2 linked regions of the Callithrix jacchus genome follow. The protein of the gene in region 2 interacts with the protein of the main gene of each other region in a biochemical or structural test. Links are inferred from orthologs where the notes say so. Each region holds a gene or a part of one and is shown on either strand. Other genes may lie near its edges.

Region 1 (4,500 bases), on a different chromosome or scaffold from region 2:
AACAAGCTAAATGCCCAGGACCAGGATATACCTACCTCTAAACATCTATTCATTCATTCATGTACTTACTAAGCTCAGGAACTAGGCTTTTACTTTACTTACATGATCTCATTCACCAATCTTTCATCCTACTCCCCATTCTCCTCCTCAAAGCAAATGGTGCCACCATCCATCCAGTTGCTTAGGCAGAAACCACAGTCACTGCAGATCCCTTCTCTTCGCTGACCTCACATACCCAGTTCATCAGCAAGCTCTGTGGATGCTAACTCCAAAACAGATCTCAAATTCATCCATTTTCCTCCCAGTTCACTGCCACCACAAACACCTTGGCTAAATTCTCTCTCCTCATAAGTACTATTATAGCTTTCCATCTGATTTCCTAATTTCTACTCCTATCCCCTTTAAATTTACATAAGAGCAAGAGTTTGCTTCTCAAAACATAAAACTGGCTCAAGTCACTCTCCTGTCCCTCACTCTACACAGGGCTAACTGTCCTGTAATTCTATTTTTTTTTTTTGACACAAGGCTCCATTCTGTCACTCAGGCTGGAGTGCAGTGGTATGAACACAGCTCACTGCAGCCTTGACATCCCACCTCAGCCTCCTAAGTGTCTGGGACCACAGGCACGCGCCACCACACCCAGCTAATTTTTGTATTTTTTGTAGAGACAGGGTTTTGTCATGTTGCTCAGGCTAGTCTTGAACTCCTGGGCTCAAGCGATCCGCCCACCTCGGCCTCCCAAAGTGCTGGAATTACAGGCATGAGCCACTGCACGCCTTCTGTCATTCTTTAGGTCTTAAATGTTATCTCCTCACAGGACCTTAGAGGACTTCCTTCACCGTCCAAACTAAAAAAACACACAGAGAGACAGACAGACACACACACACACACACACACACACACTCTTTCTTCACAGCACTTGCCAGTTTACAACTATTTTATGTGTTCATTTATTGGCTTCTGCACCAGAGGGAACCGTTCGGGAGTTAGAGGCCTACTGTCTTCATGTTCTCTGCAAATTTTCCGAACACCTACCTCTGTGTCTAGCACAAAGTAAGACCTCAATCTGTGGAATGATCAGATTAACTTTTTCAGCCCCAGTGTGCCAATGTTACTAATGCTTCTACACAGAAAGGAAGGATCCACCCAAACCCCCAACCGACAAGGAAGCCGTCCGTGCTCCGGAGGGAGGGTAAGGACAAGTGCTCCTCAAACTCCCTCACCCACGGCTTCACTCAGGATTTGTCACGTGACCAGCAACAGCCGGCTCTCAAACCTGGAGTGCCCCACAGACTTTCCCTTGCATTCGGGGTCCTCCGCAGAGATTAATGTCATCTCCTTCCCTCCCTGCTGGCTCTACCACTCTGCCTCCCCTGCTCGCCCCGCTCTGATTACCGCGTCCCATTACCGGCTGTCCGGATCCTTAGCGCCACCGCCGCCGACGCCATGTTTGCGTTCACCAACTTCCGGTCCCCAAAAGGTTCTACTTCCGCTATCAGTAGCTGTACTTCCGGGTCTTGTGTGGCAGTTGAAAGAGTGGCGGGAGAACTTGCAGGTGAGTATCCCCGGTCGCGGGCCTGCGGATTGGGTAGGGCTTCCCTCCTGAGTACCGCTCTGCGGCGTCTTGGTGGCCAGGGCATTTAGGAGTCTCTGCAGCGGACCGCCAGCCTGAAAGGCGCAGAGCTTATCGGGCAGGGGCCCACTTGTCCCACTCCCCTCATTTGCAGATGTCAGCGGAGCCCCAGCGAAGGGTCAGAGATGAGGCCCCCTCCTTAGTCATTCAATTTACTTTACTCAGCCAGCTGTGTGCCAGATACTGTACTAAGCGCGGTGGATGCATTATTTCATTTAATTCTCACCACCTTATAAAATGGGGCTGTTACCGTCCCTGTTTTACTAAGGAAGAAACTGAGACCGAGGCAGGTTACATGTCTCCTCCTGGGTCATACCTACAGTGTTAGTAAATGTTCAAGGAATGATTAACTTTGCACATGACCCAGCAATTCTACTCCTAGGTATATACACGCAAGGGATTTGAAAACATACCCCACTAAAACTTGTACATCAATGTTCATAGCAGCGTTATTCATAGTAGCCCAAAAAAAAAAAAAAAAAAAAAGGAAACAAATGTCCAAGTGATTAATGGATAAACAAAATGTAGCATATTCATACAATGGAATATTAGTCAGTCATAAAAAGCAGTAAATACTGATACAGGCTACATCATAAATAAACCTTGAAAACATTATGCTAAGTGAAAAAAGCCAGTCATGAAAGGCCACATATTGTGTGATTCTATTTATATGAAATATCCAGAATAGGCAAATGCATAGAGAGATTTATGGTCGCCAGGAGCTGGGGAGAGGGAGGAAATGGACAGTGACTGCTTAATGGGTGCAGGAATTCTTTTTGAGGTGATGAAAATAAATGATGATGGTTGCACAACATTGTGAAAATACTAAACTTCTGAATGTACACTTTTCAAAGGATATTATGATGTGCGAATTATATGTCTTTTTATTTTATTTTTCTTTTGAAGCAGGGTCTCACTCTCACCCAAGCTGGAGTGCAGTGGTACAATCACAGCTCACTGCAGGCTTGACCTCCCAGGCTCAAGCGATACTCCCGCCTCATCTTTCTGAGTGTCTGAGACTATAGATGTGAGCTACCACATCCAGCTAAGTTTTGTATTTTTTTTGTAGAGATGACTTCTTACTATGTTGCCTAGGCTGATCTCCAACTCCTGGACTCAAGTGATCCTTCTGCCTTGGCCTCCTAAAGTGCTGAGATTATAGGCATGAGCTACCATGCCCAGCCTTTATCTCAGTTTTGAAAAACAACAACAACAACAAAAAAAAAAACCAGCTTTTGACCAGGTGTGGTGGTTCACACCTGTAATCTCAGCACTTTGGGAGGTCAAGGCACGCAGATCACCTGAGGTCAGGAGTTTATGACCAGCCTGGCCAACATGGTGAAACTCCGTCCTCACTAAAAATACAAAAATTATCCAGGCGTGGTGGCACATGCCTGTAATCGCAGCTACTCAGAAGACCGAGGCAGGAGAATCACTTGAACCTGGGAGGCAGAGGTTGCAGTGAGTTAAGATTATGCCACTGCACTCCAACCTGGGCAGCAGAGTGAGACTCCCATCTCAAAAAAAAAAAAAAAAAAAAGTGTAACTTTTGACGTCTCCATTTCAAATGTGGACATCAACAAGGGGGTGGAGGTGTTAAATCTTGTTACTAGCCCCCATTACAATTTTGTAATGGTAACTCTACTTTGTTTATAGTCATCTGGAAAGAATTTGAAGAGGATTCCTGTTAGACTACCAGGAGTTAGAGTTCCAGATTGAATGTGTTGGGGCCATGTCATATTTCTCTGTTTCTGTATTACCTATATCTTATATTTTTCTTCATAAAGCTTGGCTATGGACCACAGCTAGTGGACTGAATTGAATACTCCAGTCTGTGTCGTATGTCTCTTTTCCTTTTAGGGAATGATTTGATAGCACATACTGATGGCTCTGAAGAAGTCATCACCCTCACTGGATTCTGGTGACAGTGACTCTGAGGAGTTGCCAACATTTGCCTTTCTGAAGAAGGAACCTTTAACAAAGAGGAGACAGCCTAAAAGGGAAGAGAAGATTGTAGTAGTTGACATCTCAGATTCTGAGGCCTCCTGTCCTCCATCACCAGGCTTGAAAGATTCACCACCTGTCCCAGACACAGCTGAAACTGTCACACAAACACAGTCAGTCAGTTTGCTGTGCAGTGGAAGTGAGGATGAAGAATCTATTCCTCTAGCTCAGAGGCTTATACATAAATTTCTGACCCACAGGCAACTGAGCCCTGAGGACTCTAGCTCCCTAATTAAAAGTGTTTTGGATTATCAAAATAATGAAGGTGTGTCATGTGACTGGAAAAAGCAGCCCTTTTCAAAGATCCCTGAACTTCCCCTCCATGATACTCCAGAGAGGAGTGCATTAGATAACAAGGACCCAATCTTAGATCCATGCCGTCAGCTTCCAGCCTACCAGTCTACCTGCTCTGGCCAGAGCAGCAGCTTGGCAGTAACCAAAACAAATTCTGAAATCCTCCCACCCCAAAAGAAAACCAAGCAGAGTCAGAAGGTCCAGGGAAGAGTCTCACAGGGATGCCAGCAGCAGAGACAAGTAAGGCAGAAGGAAAGCACCCTGAGACAACAGGAAAGACAGAAGGCAGCACCGGTAACCAGGATGAAAGCCCAGAGGCCAGAGGAATGTTTAAAACACATCATTGTGGTGCTGGATCCAGGTTCTCGCATGTGTCTTTGTCCTTTGCTGAGTTGTCTGCTTTCTGGACCATCCACTGACAGTCCCTTTTCCATCTGTTGCAGTGCTTTTACAGATGGAAGGTGGGGGCCAGCTCCTGGGAGCACTGCAGTCCATGGAGTGCCGCTGTGTGATCGAGGCGCAGGCCGTGCCTTGCAGCGTCACTTGGAGGAGAAGGGCTGAGCCATCTG
Region 2 (3,605 bases):
CACATACTCCAGCGTAGGCAACAGAGTGAGACTCTGTCTCCAAAAATAAAATAAAAACCAGACATAAGATATACTGCTCCCAGTTCTGATGGATGGTAGCAGCAGCAGCCTCCCTGGGTGCCTGAGCGGAAGAGCACCGTCATGTGGATGTGAGAGTTCAATGTTCTTTTAAAAAAATCAGGCCTCCTCACTCAGACTGCTCTGGCTAGGGGCCACTTCCATCCACAAGGAACATGGGGACCTGCTGCCCATGGGTGACATGCCAGAGTCTACGTGTTGGCTCCCTGGGAAGGGTGCACAGAGAGGACTGGGCAGCTCACCCTGGCACCCAGCAGTCATGCATGCTCCCCACGAAGCAGACCGCAGACCCTTTCTCCCAAGCCCAGGCCAGCTGCATCCACCGGACCCCAAGGGACCACGTGGGGGACCCTCCCACCCCCAGGCCTGTGAAACCTGGTTACTCGTGGGAGGGAAAAGCCCACTGTGGGCAAGCTTGGAAGACCACCAACCTATCCAGTTCCTTCTTCAGCACCGGGGTCTCCATAATGGAATACTGTGGCATTGGAGTTATGGGCACTTTGGGGGGCAAATTCTTCTTCCAATTAGCACCTTCTGGGTAAAACAAAAGAAGCACACGTTTTAGCACAAGGGACCCGAATTTCCCACGTGTGATCCCAGTAGCGTCACCAAGAGGAATACTGCACCTGAAGATAACCCAAGCAACACTTTTTCTCCATGAAAGCAACAAAGGAACTTTGTTTTCCCGTTTACAGCACCGGGGACATGCACTGAGGGCCACCCCTTGTATAACACAGATGCCGGCTGAACAGGGCTCCTGGGGCAGCACAGCACGTCACAATATCTTACACATGTAAACTTAAAAACGTCTGACCCACAGTGACAACCTGAGACAATGGGTCACACTGATACTCTTCAAACAGGCTTGGCTGCGTGCTCACGCCTGTAATCCTAGCACTTTGGGAGGCTGAGGTGGGCAGATCATGAGGTCAGGAGTTCCAGACCAGCCTGGCCAAGATGGTGGAACCCTGTTTCTAATGAAAATATAAAAATTAACCGGGCGTGGTGGCTTGTGCCTGTAATCTCAGCTACTTGGGAGGCTGAGTTGCAGTGAGCTGAGATTGCACCACTGCACTCCAGCCTGGACAACAGAGCGAGACTCCGTCTCAAAAAAAAGAACAAAGAAAGAAAAAAAAAAATAGGCTTAGATATCAGTTTTGTTTTTTAAAAATAATTTCATCAATTAAAACCCAGTTATTCACAAGGTAATAACGAAAAAAAAAAACCCACTCAAAAAAATGGGCAAAGAATGTGAACATACATTTCTCCAAAGAAAATGTACAGCATGGCCAATAACCACATGAAAAGCTGCCCGACATCATTAGTCATCAGGGAAATTCAAACCACAGTGAGATACCACTGCACGCCCGCTAGGAGGGCCATGACAGAAACACCGAGCGCTTGGGCAACATGGCAAAACCACAAATCTACAAAAAAAAAAAAAAAAAACAGCTGGGTATGGCGGCCCAAGCCTGTAGTTCCAGCTACTCGGGAGGCTGAGGTGGGAAGATCGCCTCAGCCAGGAAGGTCGAGGCTGCAGCAAGCCGTGAACACACCGCTGCACTCCAGCCTGGGCAGTGCAGCAAGACCTTATCTCAAAACAAACACAACTACAACAACAAGGATAACGAGTGCTGGCAGAGACAGAAAACGGTGAAGTCCTTTGGGAAGTAGTCTAGCAGTTCCTCAAAATGCTACACACAGTTGCCATCTGACCCAGCAATTCCACTGCTAAGTATAGAACCAAGAAGAATGAAAACTTACGTCTACACAAAAGCTTGCATGTGAATGTTCCTGAGTAGCATTATTAACCACCAAGGAGTAAAAACAACCCACGTGTTCATAATGGATGAACGGATAAGCAAAACTGGCATGCCACCAGTGGGAATTAGACATAGAAAGGAATGTATGCCCAAAGCCAGGGCAACATAGCAAGACCCTGTCTCTAAAAAAAAAAAAAAATTAGCCAGGCATGGTGGCACCTGCCTGTAGTCTCAGCTACTCAGGAGGCTGAGGTGGGAGGATCACTTGAGCCTGGGAGGTCGAGGCTGCAGTGAGTTGTGATTCTGCACTGCACTCCAGGCTGGGTAACAGCAAGAGCACTACTCAAAAACTGGCCGGGTGCAGTGGCTCAGGCCTGTAATCCCATCACTTTGGGAGACTGTGGTGGGTGGATCACTTGAGGTTAGGAGTTTGAGATCAGCCTGGTCAACATGATGAAACCTTGTCTCTACAAATACAAAACAAATTACAGGTGGCAGGTGCCTGTAATCCCACCTACTCGGGAGGCTGAGGCGGGAGAAGTGCTTGAACCAGGACGGTGGACGTTGCAGTGAGGCGAGATTGCACTGCTGCACTCTAGCTTGGGCAACAGAGCAAGACTCTGTCTTAAAAAAACAAAAACAAAAAGAAAACAGAATAAAAAGGAATAAAGTACTGATCCATGCTACAACATGTATGAATCTTGAAAACTGTGTGCTAACTGAAAGAAGCCAGACACAAAAGGCCACATATCAGTAACATATGGCTCTGTTTATGACATGTCCAGGACAGGCAAATCTATACAGACAGAAAGTAGATTCTTGGTTGCCAGGCCTGGGGGAAGGGGAAGGGGAAGGGGAGAGACGGTTCATGAGTTTGGGATTTATTGTTGAGATGATGAGAATGTTCTGGAAGTAGATGGTGACAATGGTATAACACTGTGAATGGACTAACAACCACTGAACTGTCCATTTTAAAAGGGTAGTTTTTTTTTGTTTTTTTGTTTTTTTCCTTTTGAGACGGAGTCTCACTCTGTTGCTCAGACTGGAGTGTGTGCAGTGGTGCAATCTGGGCTCACTGCAACCTCTGCCTCCCCAGTTCAAGCAATTCTCCTGCCTTAGCCTCCTGAGTAGCTGGGACTAAAGGCACATGCCACCACGCCCGGCTAATTTTTTATAATTTTAGTAGAGACAGGGTTTCACCATGTTAGCCAGCATGGTCTCGAACTCCTGACTTTGTGATCCACCCACCTTGGCCTCCCAAAGTGCTGGGATTACTGGTGTGAGCCACCGCACCTGCCCCAAAAGGGCAGATTTTATGGTATGTGAATTATATCTAAATAAAGCTCTCACTCTGTGAGAGCTGGAATATCTCTCTCAGGCGTGAGGTGGCTCATGCCTGTAATCCCAGCACTTTGGGAGGCCAAGGCGGGTGGATCACCTGAGGTCAGAAGCTGAAGACCAGCCTGACCAACATGGTGAAACCCCGTCTCTACTAAAAATAAAAACAGCCTGGCATGGTGGCCGGTGCCTGTAGTCTCAGCTACTTGAGAGGCTGAGGCAGGAGAATCTCTTGAACCCGGAGGTGGAGGTTGCACTCCAGCCCGGTGACACATGAGGAACAGGGACTTTGGGTTCTTCTCTCTTTTATGACCATTTTATCACCATGGAACCTTTGAGAAAGGCAGATTCTTCCTGTGGCCACAGCACCATCCTAAAGCCCACCTCAGATCTGCTCTCCGGCCTCCTCCAGCCATTCTCACAGCA

What was found.
Region 1: the proteins of SLX4 (region 2) and EME1 form a complex in vitro, tested with the Homo sapiens proteins (3 studies listed by BioGRID, with this or other methods). The link is inferred for Callithrix jacchus from reciprocal best matches to the Homo sapiens genes SLX4 and EME1.

The regions. Positions count from the first base shown.
Region 1 is NC_133506.1:115,950,746-115,955,245, reverse strand, and holds the start of EME1 (structure-specific endonuclease subunit EME1), read left to right. Parts: upstream 1-1,512; 5' UTR 1,513-1,555; intron 1,556-3,493; 5' UTR 3,494-3,517; coding exon 3,518-4,292; intron 4,293-4,374; coding exon 4,375-4,500. Other genes in the region: MRPL27 (large ribosomal subunit protein bL27m), read right to left, coding at 1,409-1,448. UniProt on the Homo sapiens protein: Non-catalytic subunit of the structure-specific, heterodimeric DNA endonuclease MUS81-EME1 which is involved in the maintenance of genome stability. In the complex, EME1 is required for DNA cleavage, participating in DNA recognition and bending.
Region 2 is NC_133513.1:5,691,634-5,695,238, forward strand, and holds part of SLX4 (structure-specific endonuclease subunit SLX4), read right to left. Parts: intron 613-3,605; coding exon 510-612; intron 1-509. UniProt on the Homo sapiens protein: Regulatory subunit that interacts with and increases the activity of different structure-specific endonucleases.